Linked DNA regions of Anolis sagrei. The protein of the gene in region 3 purifies or fractionates together with the protein of the main gene of each other region. This does not show direct contact. Links are inferred from orthologs where the notes say so. Each region holds a gene or a part of one and is shown on either strand. Other genes may lie near its edges.

Evidence for each region. Proteins that work in one complex are often made in the same cells at the same time.
Region 1: the proteins of SSRP1 (region 3) and CHD1 purify together in Homo sapiens (affinity purification with mass spectrometry; 3 studies listed by BioGRID and IntAct, with this or other methods). This does not show direct contact. The link is inferred for Anolis sagrei from reciprocal best matches to the Homo sapiens genes SSRP1 and CHD1.
Region 2: the proteins of SSRP1 (region 3) and SAP18 fractionate together in Homo sapiens (co-fractionation; 3 studies listed by BioGRID and IntAct, with this or other methods). This does not show direct contact. The link is inferred for Anolis sagrei from reciprocal best matches to the Homo sapiens genes SSRP1 and SAP18.

What each region holds. Positions count from the first base shown.
Region 1 is NC_090022.1:251,871,379-251,878,243, forward strand, and holds the start of CHD1 (chromodomain-helicase-DNA-binding protein 1), read left to right. Parts: upstream 1-3,838; 5' UTR 3,839-4,246; intron 4,247-6,865. UniProt on the Homo sapiens protein: ATP-dependent chromatin-remodeling factor which functions as substrate recognition component of the transcription regulatory histone acetylation (HAT) complex SAGA. Regulates polymerase II transcription.
Region 2 is NC_090023.1:28,526,366-28,533,276, reverse strand, and holds the start of SAP18 (histone deacetylase complex subunit SAP18), read right to left. Parts: upstream 3,028-6,911; 5' UTR 2,775-3,027; coding exon 2,703-2,774; intron 1-2,702. UniProt on the Homo sapiens protein: Component of the SIN3-repressing complex. Enhances the ability of SIN3-HDAC1-mediated transcriptional repression. When tethered to the promoter, it can direct the formation of a repressive complex to core histone proteins.
Region 3 is NC_090021.1:233,759,921-233,767,128, forward strand, and holds the start of SSRP1 (FACT complex subunit SSRP1), read right to left. Parts: upstream 3,024-7,208; 5' UTR 2,924-3,023; intron 1,541-2,923; 5' UTR 1,364-1,540; coding exon 1,310-1,363; intron 855-1,309; coding exon 669-854; intron 229-668; coding exon 123-228; intron 1-122. UniProt on the Homo sapiens protein: Component of the FACT complex, a general chromatin factor that acts to reorganize nucleosomes. The FACT complex is involved in multiple processes that require DNA as a template such as mRNA elongation, DNA replication and DNA repair.

The DNA of each region.
Region 1 (6,865 bases), on a different chromosome or scaffold from region 3:
TTTTTTTCTGGCTACGGCCCTGGGCAGGATATAAATACCATAAATAAATAAATAAATAAATAAATAAATAAATAAAATGTTATTTTCTAAGGTGGAGAGTGTGCGTTGCCCAAGGTCACTAGAGGTGTGTCTACACTGTAGAATTAATGCGGTTTTGACACCACTTTAGGAAATACATAGGGTCCTTGGTATATTGGTGCTGAAAAGAGAGAGAGAAGTCAAACCTCTGATGCTATGGCATCCTGGGAACTGTAGTTTGATGAACTGGCACTCTTTGGCAGAGAAGGCGAAAAGCCTTATTTGGTGCACATTAGTAGAACAAGGGTGCATCTACACTGTAGAACTACTGCAGTTTGACGCAACTTTTACTGCCATGTGCTTAATCATGTGAATATGGAATCATGGGATCTATAGCTTTACAGAATCTTTAGCCAAACAATCCTTGAGCCAAACTACAGCGCCCAGGATTCCATACCACTGAGCCATGGCAGCTAAAGTGGTGCCAAACTGCATTCATTCTACAGTGAAGATGCAGCCGCAGTGCATTTTCGTGGCCCAACAGGTATTCAGACCTGGTCTCCAGAATGTAGTCCAGCACTCAACTAAAGTTTATTTGTCTGTGGCACAACATTAATTGCAAATGTTTGTAATAATACAGCAGACTATTAATACACAATCCACTGCTGATGACTTGAGGGATTTGGGAGGTTCAACATTCAAGCTGCTACACCCCACTGGCTCTTTATGGAGGCTTACTCAGAGAGGGAAGTCCCTCAGCCTTCAATGAGTCAGTTCTTTCTTACGTAAAACCGCAATCTGAAACCACTAGTACTACACATACTTAACAGACACACACGTGTCTCTTGAGACAAAAGCTTCAGGCTGTGAGCTGCTAGTGGAAGGTAATTTGGGGCCACTTTGAGTAAGAGAGCAAAAGTTTTTCTCTCAGGCACACAGGCAGTAAAGCAGAGTCTGTCCACTATGGGTGCATTTATACTGTAGAATTAATAGTTTGACACATGAACTGCCGTGGATCAATGCTATGGAATCCTGGGAGTTATCGTTTAGAACTCCCATAATTCCATAGCACTGAGCCAGAGCAGTTCACGTGGTGCCAAATTGCATCTCTCAGGGCACATCAATACTGTAGAATTAATGCAGTTTGATACCACTTTCACTGCTGTGCTTCAATGCTACAGAATCCTAACAGTTGTAACTTTACCAGGTCTTTAGCTTTCTTTGCTAAAGAAAGCTAGTGCCTGATCAAAACTACAAATCCCAGGATTGTGGAGAATGGAAGCAAGATGGTAACAAACTGCATTAATTCTACAATGTAGGCCCTATAGTGGCAATTTAATTCAGTTTGAAGCTAGTGGTCAGATAACAAATGATAGCCCTTAATGTGTCTCAGTATTGTGTGGTTTGTGTAATTACCATCAGGGCCTCAAACTGGTTTCCTAGGGATATACAGGTAGTCCCCAAGTTACAAACATCTTACGTACGAACAACTCATTGTTAAGAACATGGGAGAGACAACAGGAAGTGAAAGAAATCTGACCCTTGGATGGGAAATTCACCCCAAATGGGAGCCTTCCCGGGGCTCATCGAACTGGCATGGATTATTAATCATGTCAGAAGCAAACCGAAGGTACAGTTATAATGCATTTAAAAACACAAAGTTTTAAAAACTTGGCATTATACTAAATGTCCTTTAACCAGTAGCCGGCCACTTGGAGTGCCTCTGGTGTTTCTATAAGGTCCTCCATTGTGAATGTGAGAGGGCTCAGACTGCATTGTAATAGGTGGTCTGAGGTTTGCTCTTCTCCACACTCACGTTGCAGACCCCACTTTGTGGCCCCATTTAAGGTTGGTGCTGCATCTTGTGGTGCCAGAGCGCAGCCTGTTTAGCGCCTTCTAAGTCACCCAGGGCCCTTCCACACAGCCCTATATACCAGAATAACAAGGAAGAAAATCCCACAATATCCACTTTGAACTGGGTTGAGTCCACACTCAGATAATGTGGGACTTTCTGCCTTGATCTTCTGGGATATAGGGCTATGTGAAAGGGCCCCCAGTCTTCTGTGTGCCCAGGGGGGAGTTTCTCATTTAGTATCAGCCATAGCTTGAGTTTCTGGGTTTTAGCCTGCCGCTTTTGGACTCTCGCTTGCTGAGGTGTTCCTGCAAGTATCTCTGTCGATTTTAGAAAACTATTTCTTCATTTAAGGCACTGGTGTGCTGGCTGATATCTGAACAGGGGGTGGGCCAGAGATGTCACTTCAACTGGCATTGAAGAATGAGACTCCCCCCTGGGCACACAGAAGACTGGGGGCCCTTCCACACAGGCCTATATACCAGAATATCAAGTCAGAGAATCCCACAATATCTGCTTTGAACTAGGTTGAGTCCACACTCAAGATAATGTGGGACTTTCCGCCTTGATATTCTGGGATATAGGGCTATGTGGAAGGGCCCCCAATCTTCTGTGTGCCCGGGGGGGGGGGGGGGGGGCTCTCATTTGGTATCAGCCATAGCTTGAGTTTCTGGGTCTTAGCCTGCTACTTTTGGACTCTTGTTTGCTGAGGTGTTCCTGCAAGTATCTGTTTCGATCTTAAAAAAACTATTTCTTCTTAAGGCGTTGGCGTGCTGGCTGATATCCGAACAGGGGGTGGGCCGGAGATGTCACTTCAATGTATCCAAAGGAGGGCAACTAAAATGATCAAGGATCTGGAGAACAAGCCTTATGAGGAGCGGCTTAAAGAGCTGGGCATGTTTAGCCTGAAGATAAAAAAGGCTGCGAGGAAACATGATAGCCATGTATAAATATGTGAGAGGAAGCCACAGGGAGGAGGGAGCAAGCTTGTTTTCTGCTTCCCTGGAGACTAGGGCATGGAACAATGGCTTCAAACTACAAGAAAGGAGATTCCATCTGAACATTAGGAAGAACTTCCTAACTGTGAGAGCCGTTCAGCAGTGGAACTCTCTGCCCCGGAGTGTGGTGGAGGCTCCTTCTTTGGAAGCTTTTCAACAGAGGCTGGATGGTCATCTGTCGGGGGTGCTTTGAATGCAATTTTCCTGCTTCTTGGCAGGGGGTTGGACTGGATGGCCCATGAGGTCTCTTACAAGACGATGAGAAATACCAGGGCCCAATTATTATTATTATTATTATTATTAACTTTATTTGTACCCCGCTAACATCTCCCGAAGGACTTGGTGCGGCTTACAAATAAAACAACAGCATAACAAATACAACAATAAAACTCATAAAGCAAACCAATAAACATTAAAGCAGTAACAGTAAAACATCAAAACAATACATCATGACACATTTAAAACTAGGACCAGGCCAAGTGTAATGAATAAATTAAAAAGTGCTGGACATGACAGGTGAAATGTAAGGATTTTAAGGTAGGCGCGATGTGCAGGCAATCTCAAATCTCTGGTCAAGTGCGTTTGGGACATGATGCTGGGAGTTTCCTATTCTGGAAAGGCACACTGGAGCAGCCAGGTCTTCAAGCTCTTCCTAAAGACTGCCAACGTGATGGCGATGACACAGAACCACGGAGAGGCCTTTCTTTCGCGTGGGTTTTGTTGTGGGAGTTGGATGGCTGGGCCTCAGAGCGGCCTGGCGGATGAGGCCTCAGAGGCGCATTCCCTCACTTGGCGCCCTCTTCCCTTCCTCTTCTCGTCATAGCGGCCTGCTTTCCTTCCTTCCTGCTTCCCTTCCCCTTCGCCCTCTGCTCCTTTCCCGGCCTGCCTCGCTGGCTCCTCCCCCTTCCTTCCTCCCTCCCTTCCCGCTCAGTCCAGGGCTGACATCACGCCCGGGGTTTCCATCGGAGGGGGAAAGAGGGAGGGAAGGAGAGAAGGAGGGAGGAGGAGGAGAAAGAGGAGGGGACACTCGGCGTGATGATGGCGGCGGCCGGGAGCGCTTAAAGCAACGGCGCCTGCCCGCGCACCTCAGGCCCCTCTTCCGCTCCCTTTTGTTTTTTAACCCCTTCGAGTCTTCCTTCCTCTCTCCCTCCCTTTGCGGAGGGACTCGGGCTTCCTTTCCCTCCCTTTTGGGCCTAGGCCGAAGCCAAGCGCCGCCGAAAGAGAGACAGCGAGAGAGAGACTGAGAAAGGGCGAAGAGCAATCCAGGCCGGACCCGGAGCGCTTCCTTCTTTCCTTCCTTCCTTCGCCGCAGGCCTCTCTCTCTCTCTCGGGTTTATTATTATTATTCCGCGACTTCCCTCAAGAGGAGAATGAAGAGGTAAAAAATGAAAAACCGGCGGGGAAGCCGAGGGTCAAAGGCTTGAGGCGAGGCTGGCGGGCGCTTCAAGTGTAGGCCGCAGCCCAAAGGACAGTGATTTGCTGAGGGAGGGAAGCAGAGGGGAGCCAACTCGAAGCCGAGGCGCGGGCAGAGAAGGGGGAAAAGCAAGGCCTCTGCTGGAGGGAAGGCCCAACTTCCCAGAATTCAGGGAGAAGCGGGGCTTTTGTTCCAGCCTGGCCTACGTGTCCCGTTCCCCTTCCTCCCAGGGTGCATCCACACTGTAGATTTGATGCACTTTTCATTGCTCAAGGAGACAGAACCCTGGATGTTGTCTCTTCGCTGGGCCTTGTGTTGCTACAACTCCCAGGATTGGCAGTTTGCAAAAAGTGGTGCCAAACTATTCCTTTCGTATAGAGGAGACCTGGGCCAATTTGGGCCCTCCGGGCCCAAATTGGCTCAGGCCTGGTGTAGACTCAAAACCATGCTGTTCCTCTTTTCTCTTTTGTTTACTGTTAAGAGAGAAAAGAGAGAGAAGGCCAAAGGCGGCCTAGCAATGGCAGCAGTGATGACAATAATGAGGAGGAGGAGGGGGATGAAAAAGGCGCCTTGCGTGGAGCAGCTAGGCACCCACGACGTTGGGGGAGGGAGGGAGGAAGCCCATTTGTTTTGGCACCCACTAAATCCACGAGGCCCGCTCCTCATTGGCTGCCAGGCGGGCGAGCGGGGGCCCCGTGTGCTCGCGCCGAAAGGCCCCGCCTTTGGATTGCTTGGCTTCCCGGGCGGGGGGGGGGGGGGATATACAACAAAACAGTCGGAAAAATAGTAATCCAACTCTTCCATAAACTGATTTATCTCATGTTATCAATCACCTCTCCTACTGTGATATTCGGAAGTCCTGTGCAAACAGCTAGGGATGATTGGGAAGTAGTTGGGAAACTTGCAGCTCTTGCTAACTACTGCACTGCTTTTTAAGCAAGCACGGGCAAACTTTGGCCCTCCGGGTGTTTTTGGACTTCAGCTGTCACAACTCCTAACGACCTACTGGCTGGGTTGCTATGAGTTTTCCGGGCTGTATGGCAGCCATGGTCAAAGCCATGGTATTCCCTGTAGTAACCTATGGATGTGAGAGCTGGACCTTAGGGAAGGCTGAGCAAAGGAAGATAGATGCTTTTGAACTGTGGTGTTGGAGGAAAGTTCTGAGAGTGCCTTGGACTGCAAGAAGATCCAACCAGTCCATCCTCCAGGAAATAAAGTCCGACTGCTCATTGGAGGGAAGGATACTAGAGACAAAGTTGAAGTACTTTGGCCACATCATGAGGAGACAGCAAAGCCTAGAGAAGACAATTATGCTGGGGAAAGTGGAAGGCAAAAGGAAGAGGGGCCGACCAAGGGCAAGATGGATGGATGGCATCCTTGAAGTGACTGGATTGACCTTGAAGGAGCTGGGGGTGGTGACGGCTGACAGGGAGCTCTGGCGTGGGCTGGTCATGAGGCCACGAAGAGTCGGAGACGACTGAACGAATGAACAACAATATGGCAGTATATTCCAGAAGCATTCTCTCCTGATGTTTTGCGCACATCTATGGCAGGCATCCTCAGAGGTTGTGAGGTCTGTTGGAAACTAGGCAAGTGAGATTTATGTATCTGTGGATATATAAATTCTCCAGGGTAAGAGAAATAACTCTTATCTGCTTGAGGCAAGTGTCAATGTTACAAATGGCCACCTTGATTAGCACTTAATAACCTTGCAACTTCAAAGTCTGGCTGGTAGCCTGTGGGAATATTTTGTTGGGAGATCCATGATTGATTCTTGTCTGGAATTCCCCAGTTTTTTGAGTGTTGTTCTTTATTGCCAAATTTTTAGAGTTTTTTTAAAAATACTAGTAGCCAGATTTTGTTTATTTTCATGGTTTCCTCCTTTCTGTTGAAATTGTCCACGTGCTTGTGGATTTCAGTGGCTTCCCTCTCTAGTCTGACATAATGATTGTTAGAGTGGTCCAGCATTTCTGTGTTCTCAAATAATACGCTTTTTCCAGATTGGTTCACCAGGTGCTCAGCTATGGCTGGCTTCTCTGGTTGAGTTAGTCTACAGTGCCTTTCATATTCCTTGATTCATGCCTGGGCAATGCTGCATTTGGTGGTCCCTATGTAGACTCGTCCACAGCTGCATGGTATACGCTAGACTCCTGCAGAGGTGAGAGGATCCCTCTTGTCCTTTTTCGAACGTAGCATTTGTTGGATTCCTATGGGCTGTTAGGAATTGTAAGAGTTGAAGTTCAAAACACCCAGAGGGCCAAAGTTTGCCCATGCCTACTTTCAAGGGATATAACTATAGTAGACATACTTTAGCAGTTATTATCTTATATGAAACCCCTTTGAAGGGCCAGTTCCATCCTATACATGTTTGTTTACACTGGATTTGAATTGTATGGTATGACCCATTATCTACAGAACCGTGTACTCAGTTTCACTTTTCCATGACTTTGTTTATCAAAACTAATTTCTTGTTAAGGAGCTGGAATACTTAGAACTCACCTTAACGGATCTGGCTCTTAGCACATTGCTTTTAAAAGAACAATAATATAGAAGACATACTTGTATGGTCTTTATGATCCTACA
Region 2 (6,911 bases), on a different chromosome or scaffold from region 3:
TCTGCCTTGATATTCTGGGATATAGGGCTGTGTGGAAGGGCCCTTGGAATCTTTTTATTATATTCTCTTTTTAAAAGAGGTCATTTATCATGGAAGATGCTAAATTCCTATAAAATTTTTCATAAGTGTTTATAGCGGTAAATTCTGCAGGAATAGATAACTTGTGGAGGTGTTCTTTCTCTTCCTTTCTGTTTCTCTCCCATTCATTTCTCTCTGGACCCTTCCAAACAAAATATTGAGGCAGAATAACCCACAATATCTGCTTTGAACTGGGTTACCTAAGGGCCCTTCCACACAACCCTATATCCCAGACTATCAAGGCAAAATATTCCACAATATCTGCTTTGAACTGGGTTATCTGAGTCCACTCTCAGACAATGTGGGTTTTTCTGCTTGATATTCTGAGATATAGGGTTGTGTGAAAGGGCCCCGAGTCCTCACTGCCATACAACCCAGTTCAAAGCAGACATTTTGGGATGTTCTGCCTTGATATTCTGGAATAGAGGGCTGTGTGGAAGATGCTAAATTCCTATAAAACTGGAATACATTTTTCAGAAGTGTTATAGCAGTAAATTCTGCAGGAATAGGTAACCTGTGGAGGTGTTTTTTCTCTTCCAGTTTCTCTGCCATTCGTTTCTCTCTGGCCCTTTCCACACAACCATATAACTCAGACTATTGAGGCAGAATAACCCAAAATATCTGCTTTGAACCGGGTTACCTAAGGGCCCTTCCATACAATCCTATATCCCAGAATATCTGCTTTGAACTGGGCTATCTGAGTCCACTCTCTGACAATGTGGGTTTTTCTCCTTGATATTCTGGGATATAGGGTTGTGTAAAAGGGCCCCGAGTCCTCACTGCTATATAACCCAGTCCAAAGCAGATATTCTGTGATTTTCTGCCTTGATATTCTGGGATATAGGGCTGTGTGGAAGGGCCCTTAGGATCCTTTTATTATATTCTCTTTTCAAAGGTCATTTATCATGGAAGATACTAAATTCTAATAAAACTGGAATACATTTTTCAGAAGTATTTATAGTTAGGTTGTTGTAGGTTTTTTTCAAGCTATATGGCCATGCTCTAGAAGCAGTCTCTCCTGACGTTTCGTCTGCATCTATGGCAAGCATCCTCAGAGGTAATGAGGTCTGTTGGAACTAGGAAAAAGGGTTTATATATCTGTGGAATGACCAGGGTGGGACAAAGAACTCTTGTCTGTTGGAGCTAGTTGTGAATGTTTCAACTGACCACCTTGATTAGCATAAAATGGCCTGACAGTGCCTGGAGCAAACTTTTGTTGAGGTGATATTTTTCTCACATATTTATACATGGCTATCATGTTTCCTCTCAGCCTTCTCTTCTGAAGGCCAAACTTGCCCAGCTCTTTAAGCCGCTCCTCATAGGGCTTGTTCTCCAGACCCTTGATCATTTTAGTCGCCCTCCTCTGGACACATTCCAGCTTGTCAATATCTCCCTTCAACTTTGGTGCCAAGAATTGGACACAGTGTGATTCCAGGTGTGGTCTGACCAATGCAGAATAGAGCATGGGTAGCATGACTTCCCTGGATCTGTTGTGAGGTTGTGAGGTCTCTGAGGATGCAGGCGAAACGTCAGGAGAGAATGTCTCTAGAGCATTTGTCCGAACGGATCTCCCTCTACATCCCACCTCGAAGTTTAAGATCTTCTGGGGAGGCCCTGCTCTCGACCCCGCCAGTCTCTCAAGCGAGGCTGACGGGGACGAGGAGCAGGGCCTTCTCAGTGGCGGCCCCCCGCCTGTGGAACTCACTCCCTGGGGAGATCAGATCGGCGACCTCCCTCCTAACATTTAGGAAAAAACTAAAGACCTGGATGTGGGACCAAGCTTTTGGTCACTCTGACAATTAAATCAAGGACCTGGGAATAGACAAGACAAACGGAATAGGACGGACTTATGGACTCTGATATATGGACCCTGACATGAGACTGTTTTAGGTTTTTACTATGTACTGATGTTTTAATTTAAGTGTTGAATTGTTATTTTTTGTATTACTTGTTATGTGTTCGGGCATCTAATTGTGCCCTCCCCTGTAAGCCGCCCTGAGTCCCCTCCGGGGTGAGAAGGGCGGGGTATAAGTGATTGAAATAAATAAATAAATAATAGAGCATGGCCATATAGCTCGAAAAAACCTACAACCCAGTGATTCCAGCCATGAAAGCCTTCAACAATACAGTGTTTATAGTGATCAATTCTGCAGGAACAGGTAACCTGTGGAGGTGTTCTTTCTTTTCCTTTCTGTTTCTCTCCCATTCGTTTCTCTCTGGGCCCTTCCACACAAAATACTGAGGCAGAATAACCCACAATATCTGCTTTGAACTGGGTTATCCAAGTTCAAAGATATCCAAGATAATGTGGGTTTGTTTTGCCTTGATATTCTGGGATATGGGGCCCTTGGGATATAGGGCCCTGAGTCTTCCCTGCCATATAACCCAGTTCAAAGCAGTTAATGTGCGATTTTATTCAGCTGTGTGGAAGGGGCCTCTTTCTCTGTATTCCTTACTATCTCCTTCAGTCTTTCTCTCATTGTATTGTCGAAGGCTTTCATGGCCGGAATCACTGGGTTGTTGTAGTTTTTTTCGGGCTATATGGCCATGTTCTAGAGGCATTTTGGCAAGCATCCTCAGAGGTAGTCTGTCCCTCCTCCCCTTTCTGGCTCTTTTCTCTTTACCTTCTCGCGGTCGATGGGCTTTTCAGGCTCTTTCTTGATCTCCTCCTGAGTAACGCGAGACTCCACCGCCATCTTGCCGCCGCCGCCGCCTCCTACTCCTAGGCCCAAGCCTTTTCTGAGAGGGAGACAAAGCCAAGGAAGCAAGGCCGAGAGCCCGAGTCCCTCAGAAAAGGAGCGGGGAAAGCACAGCCAGCCCAAGCCTCCTTCCCCGCCTCGTGGGGACCACCGTTTCCTTATAAAAGCCCGGAAAACCGCCACAAACCTCCTCTGGTGGCTTTACCGAGGCAAGATGGCGGCATCCAGGAAAGATTCGAGCGGCTTCACTTGAAACCGCGAGCTCTCGTGAGACTACCCCTGTTGTCTCGCGAGAGAGAAACTAGAGCGTGGGATATAGCTTGTTTAAGGAATCTAGAAAAGGGTCTTGTCTGTGGAAGGATTTGAACTCAGGACCAAGGATGATCCAATGGTCCAATCGCATTAAAGTCTTATCACCCACAATTAATGTGGCTGATAAGACTTTGGGGCTTGTAAACCATGCTCCACTCTATTATTATTATTATTATTATTATTATTATTATTATTATTGATTTGATACATAGCAAGATTAGTAGACAGCAAACAAGATCACTATGCTGGCTTTTGTATTTGATCACACGTGAGAATACTTCCCAAGTGTCTAGGATGTATCAGTGAATAATGCGCACAGATCCGCGTAGGGTGGCCTTTTGCAGCTAATAGTAATTTTGTCTGTGCTGATTGTTTTTAAGTGCAGGCCAAGGTCTTTAGGCACTGCACCCAGTGTACCATTCACCACTGGGACCACTTTGACTGGTTTGTGCCAGAGTCTTTGCAGTTCAATCTTTAAATTCTCATATCGTCTAAACCAGTGTTTCTCAACCTGGGGGTCGGGACCCCTGTGGGGGTCGTGAGGGGGTGTCAAAGGGGTCGCCAAAGACCACCAGAAAACATAGTATTTTCTGTATTGTCGAAGGCTTTCATGGCTGGAATCACTAGGTTCTTGTGGGTGTTTCGGGCTATATGGCCATGTTCTAGAGGCATTTTCTCCTGACGTTTCGCCTGCATCTATGGCAAGCATCCTCACTACCTCTGAGGATGCTTGCCATAGATGCAGGCGAAACGTCAGGAGAAAATGCCTCTAGAACATGGCCATATAGCCCGAAAAAACCCACAAGAACATAGTATTTTCTGTTGGTCATGGGGGTTGTGTGTGGAAAGTTTGGTCCAATTCTGTCATTGGTGGGGTTCAGAATGCTATTTCATTGTGGGTGAACTATAAATCCCAACAACTACAACTCCCAATTGGCAAGGTCTATTTTCTCCAAACTCTGCCAGTGTTCACATTTGGGCATATTGAGTATTTGTGCCAAGTTTGATCCAGATCCGTCATCGCTTGAGTCCACAGTCTGGATATAGGTGAACTACAACTCCAAAAACTCAAGGTCAATGTCCACCAGTCCTTCCCAATATTTTCTCTTGGTCATGGGAATTCTGTGTGCCATGTTTGATTCAATTCCATCATTGATGGAGTTCAGAAGGCTCTTTGATTTAAGGTGAACTATAAATCCCAGCAACTCCAGCGTTACCAAATGACAAAATGAATCACCCCCAACCCCACCAGTATTCAAATTTTGGGCGTATTGGGTATTTGTGCCAAATTTAATCCAGTGACTGAAAATACATCCTGCATATCAGATATTTACATTACAATTCATAACAGTAGCAAAATTACAGTTATGAAGTAGCAACGAAAATAACATTATGGTTGGAGGTCACCACAACATGAGGACCTGTACTAAGGAGTTGCGGCATTAGGAAGGTTGAGAAACACTGGTGTAAGCTTTTCCAGTTACTTCTCAATCCTGCTGTCACCTGGGATATTATTATTATTATATTTGGGATCTTCTTAATATAATAAGGAAAAGCAGACAATGCCATTCAAGAGCTGTGTCTTTGTGCATATAGATGGATTTTCTTGCTCTGCCAATTAAACCTGAACTAGCGAACCTGAACTGCTAGTTGGGGGATTCTGGGAGTTGTAGTTCAAGAAGAAACTTTCTCAAGCTCTGCACATTGAAACTGAACTGGAAAACCTGAACTGCTGGTTGGGAGTTTCTATGAATTGTAATTCAAAATGTATCTTTCTTAAACTTTCCCCATTGAACTTGAATTGGGGGGTGGAGGAAGTCATTAAACCAGCCAGAAAAAAAGATTACGCAGCTATTACTAGAGAGTTCAGATATGAACAAAATGACTATTCTGATGCAGAGCATTTAAAAATTGAGAGAGGATGTAATTTAATGCTGATGGGCAGAAAATTGATCTCTTGTGTACTTTTCAAAGCAGCTGTGTTGTCCTTTTGTTATGACAGTTTTACAGCTGTTTGACCCTCTTGTTTACTCTTCGGTCTGTACACCAACAGAGATTTTCCAGTCTCCCAGCATAAAGAAAAAGAAATCCACATTGTGCAACTGGGGTGGTCCAACTGCAGTGATGGGTGGGCTGTATACACGGTAAATATATTAACTAGACTTTTCGTGGCCTGCCGATCTGTTTGAAACAAAGAGGCATAAATGACCACCATCTTTTCACAGAGAAGGCATGACAAAACTGTGTTAAGTGGGATTGTGTGTGTGTTTGAGCTTTAAGCATGTAAGAACTTCAGAAGTGTCTTGCTGGATAAGATCTGGGTCTGTCTAGATTAGTGTGCCTTGCAAGAATCCCACCCAACAATACACAGATAGTATCCACCAGAAATCTGTGGCATGTGGGCCATAATCTACTTTCCGTTCTTTATTTGTTGTTTTTATTCCATTTTGGCTGAATTTAAACCAAACTTCCCCAGTTTTATCGGGCAGCGCTTGAGAAAGTTACTTTTTGAACTACAATTCCCAGAATCCCCCAACCAGCATTTTAGCCTCTCCAGTTCAAGTTGAATGGGCAGTGCTTGAGAAACTACAACTCCCAGAATTCCCCAAACCATCAGTTTCGCTTCCTCAGTTCAAGTTGAATGGGCAGTGCTTGAGAAACTACAACTCCTAGAATCCCCCAACCAGCAGTTTAGCTTTCCTTGTTCAAGTTGAACGGGCAGTGCTTGAGAAACTACAATTTCCAGAACCCACCAACTAGCAGTTCAGGTACCCCGATTTAAGTAGAATGGACAAAACACGAGAAAGCTATTTTTTGTACTATGCCTCCTAGAATCCCTCAACCAGCAATTCAAGTTTCCCATCTCAATTTGAATGGGCAGAGGTTAAGAAAGTTTCTTTTTGAACTACAAATAAAGAATCCCTCAACCAGCAGTTCATGTTCTCCAGTTTAATGGGTGGCTCTTGAGAAAGTTCCTTTTTAAACTACAGATTCCAGAACATACCCACCCAACCAGTGGTTCAGGTTCCCCAGTTCAAGTTTAATGAGGAGAGCTGGAAAAATTACTTCTTGAACTGCAACTCCCAACATCCCACAACTAGCAGTTCACATTTAATGGGTAGAGCTTGGGAAAGTTAATTTTGAACGCCCAGAATCCCTCAAGCAGCATATTTCATGATCTGGTTATATATAAGGTGGAGTTGGCACGCAAGAGAAAGGACAAAGATAAAGGTTCAGCCTTTACGGTAATTCACAGCTTCATACGTTTATGGAGCTCTGAACAACTATTTGAGCCAGCTTACTATGTTTTAAAACTATAATTAAACAGTCTGCAAAATATATGGTACCATCCCTGTTCAGCGTTTTACAAGAAGTTTAATCTTTTGTGAAGCTAATATTGCTGGTTTTGGATCACTCACAAAACTAATTGTCAAAAATGTGTCTGAACCTGTGATGTCAGTGGCTAAACACCTTTCCTTGGGAAACAGGTAATTTTGAACCAGAATTAGACAGTCCTAGTTGTCATTGCTTGCTAGGATGCAAAAACTAACTGTGATTTGGTTTGTGTAAACATCATTTTATTATTGGATTGATTGATTGATTGATGTATCACTTTTCGCCCTGCATGGGATCCTGGGCAATATACAACATTAAAAAAAACACATAATAACTAGTAAACAGTCAATAAACACTGGGTTGCTGAGAGTTTTCCAGGCTGTATGGCCATGTTCCAGAAGCATTCTCTCCTGGTGTTTCGCCTGCATTTATGGCAGGCATTCTCAGAGGTTATGAGGTCTGTTGGAAACTAAGCAAGTGAGGTTT
Region 3 (7,208 bases):
ACTGTCATCCTCTCTCCAAGACAACCAGAAAACTCTTTCATTCCTTCCCAAAAGCTGTGACTCCTAGACTTTTTTCTATATGTTGTTTCCCATGGGACAGCATTGGCCCCATCAGAACTTACCTCCAAATTTTACTGTGCCCCAGTTCCATCCCTTCACACACAAATCTTTTTCAGCAAGCTCCAAATGAAAGTGGGTCTTGAAAAAATCTGCAAGTTTATCAAATTCCTAAAAGGGAGGAAATCGCTTAATTAGGAAGCATCCAGTTAATATTGTAGTAAGTAGATTTCATTGTAATGGAGGGCAAAAAAAATCAAGGTTACCAATGTGCCATTCGAGCAACATGAGTCTTTTGGTTCCTTCCTAATCCCTCAGGATAAAAACTAGCCCAGTAAACTGCCACCAGTCTTTGTATCTACCCATGGTACAATAAAAAATATATAGTAACAAATTATATTAACAAAGACATTTTTATACATAAGAATATGCTAGACAACATCACAGACCACATATACAAAATACAATGTTATCCACACCTATGCAGGTGCAAATTCAACCTGTCTTGTCCTTAATACTGGAAATTCCACCCCCTAATTAAGTCATGGAAACCTGTAGAGGTCTCTACTGTACAATAATTAGAAATAAACTTATATTAAACGGAAGCTTACCGTCTCCCTGAATCCATCATACTTGTAGACATGGCCACCCTTCGTAAGTAGTTTGAGACCATGGCCCAGTGCTACTCTGCGCCAGATGCCCTCTGCCAATTCTGAGGCCTGGATGTTGTCAACTTTTCCAGTTTTGCTGTTCTTAAAAATCACACCCTGGCGATTTAGCCGTAGGCGGCCATCATTCTAACACAGAAAGAGACAGAGAAGGCTAGAGACATAGAAACAGTGGCCACAGCAGCTGGGCAAAGAATATCATTCCTCCAAGTGCCTCTGAACCAGTGCTTGCAAAAACCAGTAATTACTTCCATACTGTCATATCCAATGATTGCTTTTTTGTCTTCTGATCTTTCTATTCTCTGCTACTTTAATCAACTTTTACCCTCTCCCACTAAACATCTTTCATAACTTCAGTCTCTATAGCTGTCATTAGAAAGTTCTTTCTAATCCAAGTATTCTTTACTGAATCATCAAGGTGCATGGCAACATTTTTTTTCTTCCTATGAGAGATGGAGCACTCAGATAAACACACACACAAGAATTTTGCAGCAAAATATTGGGACTAGCTTCCTTTTAAACATATAACTTCAAACAAACCCTTTGTGTTTAATGATTTTAAATATTAAACCCATAACACTCACCATAGATCCCTTCACCTCCTGGTATATTTCATTGAATTCCAATGTATCTGCCATGGTGGTTGTTCTCTCCCTACCCCGCCCCCACTACAAATGGGTTTAGAGTCACACCAAGATGTGTAGTTCTGGAAGGAAAGCTTTCTGGAGAGAATCAGGCAAGATATATTAATCCTTTCTTGAATTCGACATATTTACTGATAACGCAAGTTGTCAGAAGTCCAGAGATCTAGAGACCTGGGAAAGAAACAAAACAATTACCCAAATAACAAACCTCAAAACATGAAAATCCCCATGAAAAAGCAACCCACCCCAACCTTGGAATATACAGAGAAACTTCTGTTTCCCGGGGGGGGGGGGGGGGGGATTTTAAATTGTGTTATTTTATGTGTTGATAGTGATTGTCTCTTTTTGGGAGATGGTGGCGGGATATAAATATAGTTTTATATTAGCTGTCTAATTAATGCAGTTTGACATCACATTAATAGCCACAGCTCAGTGCTACGAAATCATGGGAGCTGGAGTTTTACAAGGCCTTGAGCCATCCGTCAAAGAGTATGCTGGTGCCTCACCAAACTACAACTCCCAGGATCCCATAGAACTGAGCCATGACAGTTAAAGTGGTGTCAAACCACATTAATGCATCTACACTCCAAGTGTGGTGTCACTGAAGAGATCCCACAAACTTTCCAGCCACCCAACCACCAAGTTAAGTGATTATGTGTTTTGTATGTGGTTATTCCCCCATCCCATAGGGAGAAATAGAAAAGAAAAAAGAAAGTTTTACAGTAAGTCAGGGGTGCTGTGCTTAATATAGATTTTTAATGATTTTAGCTATGTTGTAGTACGTTTCATTGATTACCCCATTACCCATATCAAAACATTTAACAAACACATAGAGCATGCAACCCACAGTACAACACAAGTTAAAATAAACAAGCTGTTAGCAAAGTCCCAATACAGATCAAGTATCTGCATCACCTCTGCAGTTTTCCCCAATCAACTCTAAACATGCAGTTCTTAGCTGTGTTGCTTTAAATAAAAAAGGTCAGTTTTATATGTTATTTTAGCATTCTGGCTGGCCATTAAAAATGTAGTTGTAATATACGGATCCCAGTGTGTCTTTTGTACAGTGCATGGCCCAAGATATTGGTTTCTCTCTTTATCGTACAAGTTACAACTAAGCAGTACATGTGTGATATCTAGGTTTTAATTTACACACTGTATTAGTGTCAGCTCTTTTGAGTCTCCTTTGGGGGGGGGGGGGAGAAGGGTGTAAATAGATAAATAATAATGGCGATGATGTTATGGCAGCAAGCACACATCTGCTCACTCCCACCCCATTCTGCCTCGCACACACGAACGCTGAAGGCTACTGTCTTGGCCAAAAGAAAGCAATTGCAATATTCTGTCAATATAAATCTCCATGATATTTTGGCCCAGTGGGAAGGAAACCCCACTGAGGGCCAAAGGCCCCAACCCCAGGGAAGGGTGAAGCTCAGCTTGCCCTACAAGGAAGGGAGGCAGGCAGGCAGGCAGAGGATCCTTGGCCCGTCAGTTCGATTCCCTGAGCACCCTTCTTCCCCTTTCCCCCACCAACAAGGAGCCCCATGTTATTACCAAGTCCGTCTTCACCACAGACACTTTCCCGCCTGCGCAACACGAGTTGTGCCCGCCTCCCCTTCCCATGCCCTCCGGAAGCCAAACCACACTTCCGCCTTTCGGAATGACGTCATCCCGGCCTTGGCGCGTAAAGGTTATAGAGTTGCACTGCCTCGCTGCTTTCTGCGCCTCTAAACTTCCGGTGCACATTCGAAACCGGCCACTGAGCTGCGAATCACTCGGGAGGGAGGCCAGGGCGGGATGGCGCTCCGCCCTCTGGGTCTCGAGGGTGAAAACCACAGGCTGCTTTTCAAAGAGACGCCCATAAAAGGCCTTTTCCCTGGTTTTATGGGAATTTGTTTAAAAAAATTACTCTCCAAAAAATTACTCGCCATCACGTGCATGGTGCATATTTTTTTTGCTTTGATGTTTTTATTTTGTAACTAGCCACCCCCTGCCACGCGTTGCTGTGGCCCAGTCTGTGTATATGTGCATTGTGTGTGCATATACAGGGTGAGGCAGCATAACTTCCTTTTTTCAAAACTTAATAAAACCCATTGTATGAATCAGAAATTTTAATGTTTTTTTTTATAATGTAGGCGCATACCTAAAGTTTTGTTTTATGTAGTTTTGAAGATCAAATTAGGTAGGCGACGTCCCCCATTCTCCATACACTGAATAAACCAATTTCTGGCGTTTGTCCTGACCCTTGCCAGCATAGCAGGCGTTATGTTGGCAATTTCTTCCTGGATGTTGGTCTTCAAATCTTGTAGGGTCCGTGGACGGTTCACAGAAACACAGGATTTCAAAAAACCCCATAGAAAAAAATCACAAGGGGCCAAATCTGGAGAGCGGGCCGGCCACTCCAAATCCGCTAAAAAAATAGGCCTCAACGGCAAAAGCACACTCCTCACTGTTCCAACGCATGATGGCGACTGAACTATGTCAGGACAAAACTTTATACACCCGCCTCTCAAACGAGACCACTAGCGCTCCACTACGTCTTCAACCGACTGAATGGCGCACATTTTAAAAAAGGAAGTTATGCTGCCTCACCCTGTATTTGTGGATCTTAATAAATTGTGGCAAGTTCTTGGTGGTATGGGCCTACCAAATCACCTTGTCTCTCTCCTGAGAAATCTGTTTAAGGACCAAGTAGCAACAGTAAAAATTGACCATGGAACAACAGACGGGTTCAAGATTGGGAAAGGCGTATGGCAAGGCTGCATACTCTTGCCCAACCTATTCAAGTTGTATGCAGAACACATCATGCGATGTGCGGAGCTTGACAAATGCAAGGCTGGGGTTAAAATTGCTGGAAGAAATATTAACAACCTTAGATATGCAGATGACACCACTTTGATGGCCGAAAGAGAGGAGGAGCTGAGGAGCCTTGTAATCAAGGTGAAAGAAGAAAGTGCAAAAGCTGGGTTGCAGATAAACATTTAAAAAACCAAGATTATGGCAACAAGAATGATTGACAACTGGAAAATAGAGGGAGAAAACATGGAGGCCGTGACAGACTTTGTATTTCTAGGTGCAAAGATTACTGCAGACGCAGACTGCGGCCAGGAAATCAGGAGACGCTTCTTGGCAGGAGAGCAATGACCAATCTTCATAAAATAGTGAAGAGACATCACACTGGCAACGAAGATCCGCATTGTTAAAGCAATGGTATTCCCATAGTCACCTACGGATGTGAGAGCTGGATCATAGGGAAGGCTGAGTGAAGGAAGATAGATGCTTTTGAGCTGTGGTGTTGGAGGAAAGTGCTGAGAGTGCCTTGGACCACGAGAAGATCCAACCAGTCCATTCTCCAGGAAATAAAGCCTGACTACTCTCTGGAGGGAAGGATAGTAGAGACAAAGTTGAAGTACTTTGGCCACATCATGAGAAGACAGGAAAGCTTAGAGAAGACAATTATGCTGGGGGAAATGGAAGGAAAAAGGAAGAGGGGATGGCATCTTTGAAGTGACTGGCTTGACTCTGAAGGAGCTGAGGTAGGTGACAGCTGACAGGGAGCTCTGGCATGGGTTGGTACATGAGGTCACGAAGAGTCAGAAACGACTGAACGAATGAACAACAACAAAGACTACCCGTCCCCTGCCACGCATTGCTGTGACCCAGTCTGTGTATATGTGTTTTGTATATTTATGTTATGTGTATATGTGTGTGTTATACACATATGTGTTGTGTGTATGTGTGTGTGTATATATATATTTGTATATGTGTGTGTTTGCGTATATATGTGGTTTTGTGCATGTGTTGTAATATATTTTTTGGTTTTTGGCTTTTTAAGTCCCTTCCACTGTTTTTCAGTGTTTTTATGAGTGATGATCACTCATTGACCTGATAGGTGTCTTGTGTCCAAATTTGGTGTCAATTCGTCCAGTGGTTTTTGGGTTGTGTTAATCCCACAAACGAACATTACATTTTTATTTATATAGATGCTAGCTGTCCGCTGCCACGAGTTGCTGTGGCCCAGTCTGGCAATCTGGAAAATAAAGTAATGAGAAAGTGTTGGTTTCTAATATATGTAATTTCTTTATGCTTGTGCGTAAACAGTATTTCTTCCTCTTTTCTTGTCAATATTGGTGTGGAGATTGTCTGGTTTGTGTACTCTGGAACATACAACATATTGTCCTTCTTTGATACTATATCTGTGTGTGTGAATCATGTATCTATATCTATATCTATGGCTGGATGGCTCTTTGTCAGGAGGGCTTTGATTAAGTTTCCTTGCCCTGGTGAAGGGAGTTGGACTGGATGGCTTTAAGTATTTTATGTTGCTCATGGGAGTCTGTGTGGGAAGTTTGCCCCAATTGTGTCATTGGTGGGGTTCAGAATATTCTTTGATTGTAGGTGAACTATAAATCCCAGTAACTACAACTCCTAAATGTCAAGATCTATTTCCCCCAAACTCCATCTGTGTTCATATTTGGGCATATTGAGTATTCGTATCAAGTTTGGTCCAGATCCATCATTGTTTGAGTCCATGGTGCTCTCTGGATGTAGGTGAACTACAACTCCCAAACTCAAGGTCAGTACTCACCAAATCTTTCCAGTATGCTCTGTTTGTCATTGGATCTCTGTGCACCAAGATTGGTTCAGTTCCATCATTGGTGGAGTTCAGAATGCTCTTTGATTGTAGGTGAACTATAAATCCCAGCAACTACAACTCCCAAATGACAAAATTAATTTTTTGAGTGATAGTCAATCCTTGGGTTAGTAGGTGTCTTGTGGCCAAATTTGGTGACAATTTGTCCAGTGGTTTTTGAGTTATGTTAATCCCACAAACATTTTTATTTATATAGATGTGATGGAGGATGCATCTATATCAGGCATGGGCAAACTTGGATCCTCCAGGTGTTTTGGAATTGGAATTGTGGAATTATGGGAGGTGAAGTCCAGAACACCATAACTTTCCATAATAGCAGTTATCTTTTACTGTCAGCAATTTTCTTCAGTTTTTTTCCATAAAGCAAACTGGGGAGGGACAGTGGATGGGGACAAATCTCAACTGTGTGATGGCAAATCAATGGAGGATTCCTGAGTAAAACAGATAGATTGAAAAGTGTGTGATGAAGATAGGAAAACCATACCTTCAATTTCAAAACAGAGTATGCCTAAACTGAATGGTAAGCCTACTCCCCCAAACACGTGACCTGTTCAGTGTAATGAAGTCTTTAAATACTCCCTAAGCCATCTGATAAAGGGAACCAACATTTTATTTTTTTCTGTGTATCAGGGACAAGTATATATTTGTGGTCACTGGCTATAACTGATTGTTTTCTGTAAACACTCCATGGACTGGCAGCTAATAACTCATTAACCAGTCCTGGCACCACACTAAATAGCACTATTTTAAAACTTGCTCTAATAAAAGCCCAGCAAGTGATAGGTGTTGTACCCTCTAGCACGTTGTTGTTTTGGGAAAGATACCCATAATATATTTTGAGGATTGGATAGGCTTTCATGGGAGAACATGAATTAGATCCCTAGAGGTGCTTGCATCCAAGTATTTCACTAAGCCAGGCTCCTACAATAATTCTAACTTAACATTGATGAGGCAGTCTGCTGATTTTCATTTTCTGATTAACGATGTAGCAAGGGATGCAAGTAAATAAACCATGCCTTCTGATTTAAGGTTTCTTTCTTTGTCTTGATAGCTAAACAAACAAACAACTTTAAAACTACTCCCTCACAAGCAACTTTAAATCTACTCCCAGATTTGTTCTTTGACTTGCTGAGACAAAAACACTTCAGAGCACTGACTGCTGTCCTTGGGCATCACAAGTGCTGT